2 linked regions of the Danio rerio genome follow. The protein of the gene in region 2 binds, or shares a complex with, the protein of the main gene of each other region. Links are inferred from orthologs where the notes say so. Each region holds a gene or a part of one and is shown on either strand. Other genes may lie near its edges.

Evidence for each region. The genes of interacting proteins can lie anywhere in the genome.
Region 1: washc4 (region 2) and wash1 share a complex: the UniProt entries of both Homo sapiens proteins name them as parts of the WASH core complex. The link is inferred for Danio rerio from reciprocal best matches to the Homo sapiens genes WASHC4 and WASHC1.

The regions. Positions count from the first base shown.
Region 1 is NC_133193.1:7,640,606-7,644,889, forward strand, and holds the start of wash1 (WASH complex subunit 1), read left to right. Parts: upstream 1-1,432; 5' UTR 1,433-1,511; coding exon of another isoform or gene 1,512-1,519; 5' UTR 1,520-2,550; intron 2,551-2,631; 5' UTR 2,632-3,318; coding exon of another isoform or gene 3,319-3,319; coding exon 3,320-3,459; intron 3,460-4,284. UniProt on the Homo sapiens protein: Acts as a component of the WASH core complex that functions as a nucleation-promoting factor (NPF) at the surface of endosomes, where it recruits and activates the Arp2/3 complex to induce actin polymerization, playing a key role in the fission of tubules that serve as transport intermediates during endosome sorting.
Region 2 is NC_133200.1:31,096,674-31,100,240, forward strand, and holds part of washc4 (WASH complex subunit 4), read right to left. Parts: intron 3,251-3,567; coding exon 3,054-3,250; intron 2,977-3,053; coding exon 2,880-2,976; intron 2,785-2,879; coding exon of another isoform or gene 2,735-2,784; exon of another isoform or gene 2,591-2,734; intron 1-2,590. UniProt on the Homo sapiens protein: Acts as a component of the WASH core complex that functions as a nucleation-promoting factor (NPF) at the surface of endosomes, where it recruits and activates the Arp2/3 complex to induce actin polymerization, playing a key role in the fission of tubules that serve as transport intermediates during endosome sorting.

The sequences.
Region 1 (4,284 bases), on a different chromosome or scaffold from region 2:
ACAATTATTTTAACATGTTCATACACTCTCAGAAATAAAGGTATGCAAGCTGTCACTGGGGTGGTAGCTTTTCAGTAGGTACATGTTTGTACTTAAAGGGTCAATATTGGTACCTCAACAGTAGATATTAGTACCTAGGAACACTTTTGTACTTTTTAGGTACTAATATGTACCCTTGAGGTATTAATATGGATAAGTTTTATATAGACAAATTTGTATCTTTAAAATATAAATAATATTATATATTATATATAATTATATATAAATAAATTATATATAAAGTGTTATAATAATTGATAAATATCTCAGATTTTTTACTTTTCAACAATTTCACAGTAAATAAAGATGTAAAACTCGATACAAAAAAAAACTGTTAATGTGGGAGATGACTTAGGAAATTCCTGTTTGTGTATGTACAATGTTGCCTATAAAATGAAGAAATTAACAATATATTCAAGACTTTTGTTGGATTTGTTTTCATAATAAAAAATAATATATTTTAATGAAGGCTGCACGGTGGCGCAGAGGCACATTCACCTCACAGAAGAAGAAGAAGAAGAAGAAGAAGAAGAAGAAGAAGAAGGTCTATTTGAGCCTTGGCTGGGTCAATTGGCATTTCTGTGTGGAGTTTGTAAGTTCTCCCCATGTCGGCATGGGTTTCCTCTGGGTGCTTTGGTTCCCCCACAAGTCCAAAGACATACGTGATTTGGGTAGAATAAATTGTCCGCATGTGAATGAGTGTGTGCATGGATGTTTCCTTGTGATGGGTTGCATGAAGGGAATCGGGTGCGTAAAAACGTGCTGGATAAGTTGGCAATTCATTGCACTGTGGCAATCCCAGATTGATAAAGGGACTAAACCGAAAAGAAAATGAATAAATGAATGAATGAATGAATGAATGAATGAAGGAAGGAAGGAAGGAAGGAAGGAAGGAAGGAAGGAAGGAAGGAATAATAAGTTTTGTACTTTTAAAAAGTATATTTGGCTAGATCCTTCCAGAAATTGTTTACAACGTTGCATTTAAACAATAAATGGCAAAGGCTCTCTTTTTCCACACTGCAGACCAGATATCCTCCATTTCAATGTACTTTGATAATAACGATTTTACTGGGCAAATTGAATGTAGTATTTTAAAATGAATTTCCTCAATTTTATTATTAATAGTGTATTTGAAGGGAGTTAGACTCTTTTCCAATTAATATTAACTGTAATAGACTTCCAGGAAAATTTGTCTCTAGGAGTCATTTTATTTTGCTTCTGAAAAATAATACGAATATGTTTTTAGTACATGTTTTATCATTCAGCCCAACACCTTTTAAATGTAATTTTGGGTTTACAACAGACAGAATTATAGCAAATATGATTTGTGTGTTGGTGTTGTATTATTTGACGTCTCTCCAGTTACGCGCCAACGTCAGAAGTCACGTGCTACGTCTGTGCGGAAGTTTTCATCTTGAAAGACAGTGCCGAGCGCTTTCGCGAACCCGAACGTTGATGCATTTTGCACTTAAATGGTCAGGTAGAGTATCACCGTCTACTTACTGTTATTTTATAGCCAGCAATATGAAAACTGATGTCTTAAAATCCTCCGTCAATGTCTGGTCGCTGTGTTTTGTTTTGTTTTACACCGGATGGTCGCGTGATGCAGATCAGTGTCGAAATCAGCTGATGTTTTAATATAGCTGTTATATTATTATTATTATACACTGTTTTAAGGAGTATGTTTTGCTATACACAACAAAACACTGTTTATACACCTTTATCCAAGAATATGTTGACTTATCATGTGACTGTCATTTGGTAAAGCCTCTCGGTTTAGTTTCTGAATTAGTGTTTGTGTTTCTGTATTAGATCAGATATTATAGATTGGATTCAGATGTGTGACACGTGTATCTGCGATTCCCCTATTTATAATTAGCAAAGATAATACTTTTCTGAAACTATATTATTAAGGAGAAAGTCTGAATTTGATAATATTAAACCAGCTGTACCTCTGTGGTAGTATTTGGGTTGCAAAAAGTGTAGTAATGCTTTAATTTCACTTTAATACTTTGATTTAGTAGTTTAAGCATAGTATAGGGACACCTTTTCATAGATTGTATGATTTAGTTATTAAGGAGAAAGTCTGAATCTACAAATATAAAACCAACTTTACCTCAGTAAAACTATCTGGGTTGCAAACAGTGTAGAAATGTATAGAGGTAAAATTGCTTTTATATTCGCACATTTGTTAATTTAAAACTCTGTATATTGTTTACCATGTTACTTTGAATATTAGATCGGAATTAGCATGCAAGTATGACTTGAAAACAACATTAACACTGTTTATTTGACTGTGAACAATGTTGCACTTTGATAGTCATTGGCAGCTAATATGCTTTCGCTATTTAAAGTTTGCAAGTATTACTTTTATGAAATTATTAAAGGGGAACGTCTGAATGTGCGAATATAAACCAACTTTACCTCTATTAAAAATGTGGTTTAATTTGATTTTAATACTTCGTTTAAATACTTAGTATAGGGACACATTTTCACAGACTAAATGATTCGGTTATTAAGGAGAAAGTCTAAATGTGTGAATATAAAAACAACGTTACCTCAGTAATCGTATTTAGGATGCAAAAAATGTAGTAATGCATTTGAATACTTTGTACAGTATAACGACACATTCACAGATTGTATGACTCTATTTTTAAGGAGAAAGTTTAAATGTGAGAATTTAAAACCGACTTTACCTCAGTAATAGATTTTCGGTTTCAAAACAGTGTAGTAATGTGTTTTTAATTTATTTTTAATACGTTAAGCATAGTATAAAGACACTTTTTCACAGATTGTATGATTCAGTTATTGAGGAGAGAGTCTGAATATTATGCAAATATAAAACCAACTTTAGCTCAAGAATAGTGTTTTGGTTTCAAAGAGTGTCGAAATGAGTTTAATACTTTGTTTTAATACTTTTTCACAGATTGTATGGTTCTATTAACGCGAGTCTGTATATGAAACCAACTTTACCTCAGTAATAGCATTTAGGATGCAAACAGTGTAGAAATGCTTTTTAATTTTATTTTAATACTTTGTTTAATACTTTAAGCTTAGGATAGATGCGTTCTTTCACAGATTGAATGATTCAGTTATTAAGGAAAAAGTCTGAATGTGTGAATATAAAACCAACTTTACCTCAGTAGTAGCATTTGGGTTGCAAACAGTGTAGAAATGCATCTTAATTTCATTTTAAAGCTTTCTTTTAATGCTTTAGGCTTAATATAGGGAAACATTTTTCAGATTAAATGATTCACTTGTCTGCGTTTGTGTGTTTAGGATGACACAGAAGCGTTACCTGGAGGGACAGGTGTACTCTGTTCCTCTCATCCAGCCGGACCTGAGGAGAGAAGAGGCTGTGCATCAAATTACTGATGCCTTACAGTACCTAGAGATGATATCAACAGACATCTTTACTAGGTAACTCTTTCTGGCACACTCATTTTTAGTAAAGAGTGCTGTTTTTTGCAGTGCAGGTTCAAGCATCTACAAGGACAACAATATGGCAGTTCATGCAAACATTGTAAAAGTGCTCTTTTTAACTGTTTTACTCATCAGAATCTTACCTAAAAAGTTCTTGATTTTCTGAAATATATTTTTAATATGATTTGTTTCTGTTCTCGTTTGCAATGCTAACATTTTCAGTGGCACCATCTCCCCAAAAATTGGACAGTTAAAAAAAAAAATGTTTTAGCACACATAGAAAAAATGCAACTTTTTATTTTCAAGTTATGAAATAAAGTTTGCAGTACATTATGGCAGCTCACGCGAACACTAAAAGTGCTATTTTTAAGTTTATTCAGCAAAATCATACCTAAAAAAATGTTTCCCTTGCTTCAATTTGTTCAATATGTTGATAAAATGCATTAACATTTTTATTTTTATGTTATGAATTAAAGCATGTTCACAAGAAAATATGTTTAGGATATATAATTCATTCATTTGTATTTATTTGTATTTTTATTAATTTATACAGATTATGTACACTTTTTGAAATAAGTTCAAAGTTAATAAAAGTTTTTTTTTATGCACATAAAATATTTTAAAACCAGCAGAAAAGACATTTATGTTACAAAAGAGTGCAGTTTCAAACAAATGCTGTTTTGAAACTTCGTTTAAAAGTGGTTAAAAAGGTATTCTAGTTTCCAAAATAATTAAGCAGCACAGCTGTTTTTAACATTAATAATAATGAATCATGTAACACTGAATACTGGAGTGATGATGCTGAAAAATCAGCTTTGACCT
Region 2 (3,567 bases):
TAGATATCCATCTAAATGTTTCAAACTCCAATTGAAACAATATTAGGTAGGGGTGGGGCTTTCTTTTTAAGCATAATTACCTTGTAGCAAACTAACGATAAGAGGGGAGTAACGGTTGAGAGTCTTATGGCTGAATCCATCAAACTGACATTATCAAGCTGTGTCCCAAATTGCATACTTATGCACTATTCTACGGCATTTTGTAGTATAAATTGTGTAAGTAGTGCGTTCACACTGAAAGCTAACAATAGTAAGTGTACTTTAATTTCCTGGATGATGCACTCATTCAGCCGGTTAAAATGAAGTGTGTAATGATGGACACTTCACGCACTCAATGACCGCAGGTTTGCTCATGTAGCCGAAGGGGCGGAGCTATCAAGCACACATGTTGGATAACTTTATTTATTTTGGATTGTGAAACCAAAGTTCTCCTATGAGAGTGATTATAACGCCTCCTAATGGTGAACGCGGTTATACTCATGCCAGGTATTATTTGATAGTTTGGTCATTTATTTCACTGATTTGGCAATAGTCAAACGTCATCAGAGAAACGGATTGAATTTTCGTTTAGTATAAAAACATTAGTGCTCCATTTGGGACGACACTACATGCATATACTATGCTGTTGAGTGTGTAAGTGCATAGTGTATAGTGTGCCATTCGGGACGCAGTTTCAGAGAAAAACGTCGGACCAAATAGTCAGATTTTAAATATTACCTAAACAAACTTTTGTGTGACACAAAGTTTTGTGTAATTTTGAGTGTTTCATTTTTATTTGTCGACTTTAACTGCAGTTTGGCACTTTCACTTTCATTCAGGAACATTTCATGCATGCCCCCTGTGACAAACAAGATATTGGATGTGAGTATGAACTGCTGGAAGAGTGTTGTTTTTATTGAATTTAAAACTGTATGATGTATGGAAAAAAAAAAACCCTTCGAATTTCACGATAACGGGGTCTGTGGTCTATTACTGACTTGATAGGTGCAAAAAAATAGTGTAAAAAATCCATGACGGTAATAGTTTGCATTTACATGTCTGTACTACACTTCATAATTCGACTAAAATCGGCATACTCCACTTCTTAATTCGATTTCTGTTTAGTTCGATTATGACTTTAGTCAGATTAAATTAATCAAAAATCGCTGTTTACATAGTAGACTCTTAATCAGAGTATTGTCTTAATCGTATTAAAATCAGATTATTGGTGTCCACGTAAACCAGGGGTGTCCAAAGTCAGTCTGGAGGGCCGGTGTCCTGCTGACTTTAGCTCCAACTTGCTACAACACATCTGCCTGGAGATCTTCTAGTATGCCTAGTAAGAGCTCGATTAGCTGGTTCAGGTGTGTTTGATTAGGGTTGGAGCTAAACTCCAGGACACCGGCCCTCCAGGACCGAGTGTGGACACCCCTGATTTAAACGTACTTAATGTGCACTGGCAAATTAACATGATAAATTTTGATTTCACATGGACTTTAAACGCAAAAAACAATTGCCCTGCGATCACTTTATATTTGGGATACTGTAATCAATGTATAGACAGAGTGGATATTCAGTTTTTCTAAGCTTTATTTCAAAAGCAGTGCGCTTAATCTAAATTTACAATGTTTATTTTGCTAGCTCACATTGTTATTCTTAAAGTGAACAATTTAGTTAATCCACTGAGAAAAATTGGTTTGTTTTGGTAATCTTCAATGAAAGTCTGATCATTTGGGGTCCTTCTGTTGAGGACTTTCATAGCAATTGCGTATTAATACTCTCTCTTACCATTTAGTTTGCTATTTAGCTTGCTATGACATGCAAAAGAAAGCCTCGCCCCTGCTCAATATTCTGTTTCAGTTGGAAGTGCATCAACATACTGAATAAACTAGCATAAACTCTTTTAAAGTAAGCATCTGCTGTATGTTATGCGTTACATCATGTAAAAGCCCACATTTATAACCACACATCTGAAAATGGATCAGCGGGATCAATACAGTAGATCATTTATTGGCTGATACTGGCTTGGCCACTGTTATACTGTACTATGAGGCATGACTTGTGTCTGCACTGGATGCATGTTGTGGGATGTTATCTGACAAAGTGAAAGTGAAGTAAAAGGCGGTTTATGGGACCTCAGTTTTTGAATGAGGGAACATTTAAGCCATTAAGTGCACAAATATTGAAGCAATGAGTATTTAACACATTAGTAATGGAAAAACTTTAAAAAAAAATAATAATAATAAAAAAACAGCACATGCTAGGGACACCCGGTTGTCAAAACAATGAAAATGCATTGACTCGCTTTTTCTGGGGGCTTTTCTGACTCGCTCCTCCAAAACACCCCAAAGTGGCTCAACTATATTTAAATCAGGTGACCATGCAGGCCATGGGAGATGTTCAACTTGACTTTCTCATCAAACCACTCTGTCACCAGTCTTGCTGTGTGTATTGCTACATTATCATCCAGATACACAGCAGCGCCTTCAGGATACAATTGTCTGCAAAACATATGCAAATAAAGCACCGTTTCCATCCATTGAAAGCCAACAGAAATGTCACTTCCTGATGAATTGGTGGAAACTTTCAAAGAGACAAAATGACATTTGCGTAAGTAGGAGAAGCCACTGTGGGCCTTTATTAATTTATTATAAATGATCTGCGCCTCAGAACATGAAACACAATGAACGCATGGTGACGTTTTGGATTTTAAATGATTGAACACCACAGAAGTCCAATACATGGAGAGCTTTTCCTAGAGATCTTCCATGCAATACTCATTTCCAACACACCTCTCTGTAAATTCTATCAGGTTTAGATGCGTTTAATCAGAATTGAAGCTTAAACTTACAGGATGGTAACTCTAAGAACACAACTTCAAGACGATTCCATCAACCAACCTTTGTCCTTCTTTTCCTGGGTCTCCTCTGCTGCTGTTTTATCAGCTCTGAAGAAAATCCGAGCACTGCTCAGTGAGAAATACAGCAACTCAAACTCCTACAAACACAAAGACGATGTCAATAAACAAGGTGACGTTCATTATTGCTGAAAAAGCAATGAAGATGCTTTCATACCTGCAGATATACGTCCAGTCTCTTCTGAGTCAGGTTCATTGTCTGCATGAGCTTCTCATCTTGGCTGGTGGACTGAACGTTCTGCTCCTTCACCACTGCATTCATTTCCTTCACATACTTTTCCCTCACAGCCTGGAACCAGTGGAGGGAGTCAAACTCCTGATACTGGTCCAGAAGCTTCAAGATGTAAGCAACTCCTGGAAAAAGTGGGAAAGGTCTTTGAATATTGCAGATGAGGTCGCTGACTCTGCAATAAATCACTACTCTCTGGTGGAATACCTCATTCCAGTCTTCACCTGAATTTATAAAACACAATGTTAAAGAAGCTGCTTCTCTGCAAACACTTAACCACACCAAAACATTAAAGGGTTAGTTCACCCAAAAAAGAAAATTCTGTTTTAATGATTCACCCTCATGTCATTCCAATTTAATCATTCCAAAAACTTTTTTAAATTAATAAAATGATAAGAGAGAGAGAGAGATCTAAAATATCATCTTTTGTGTTCGGAAGATG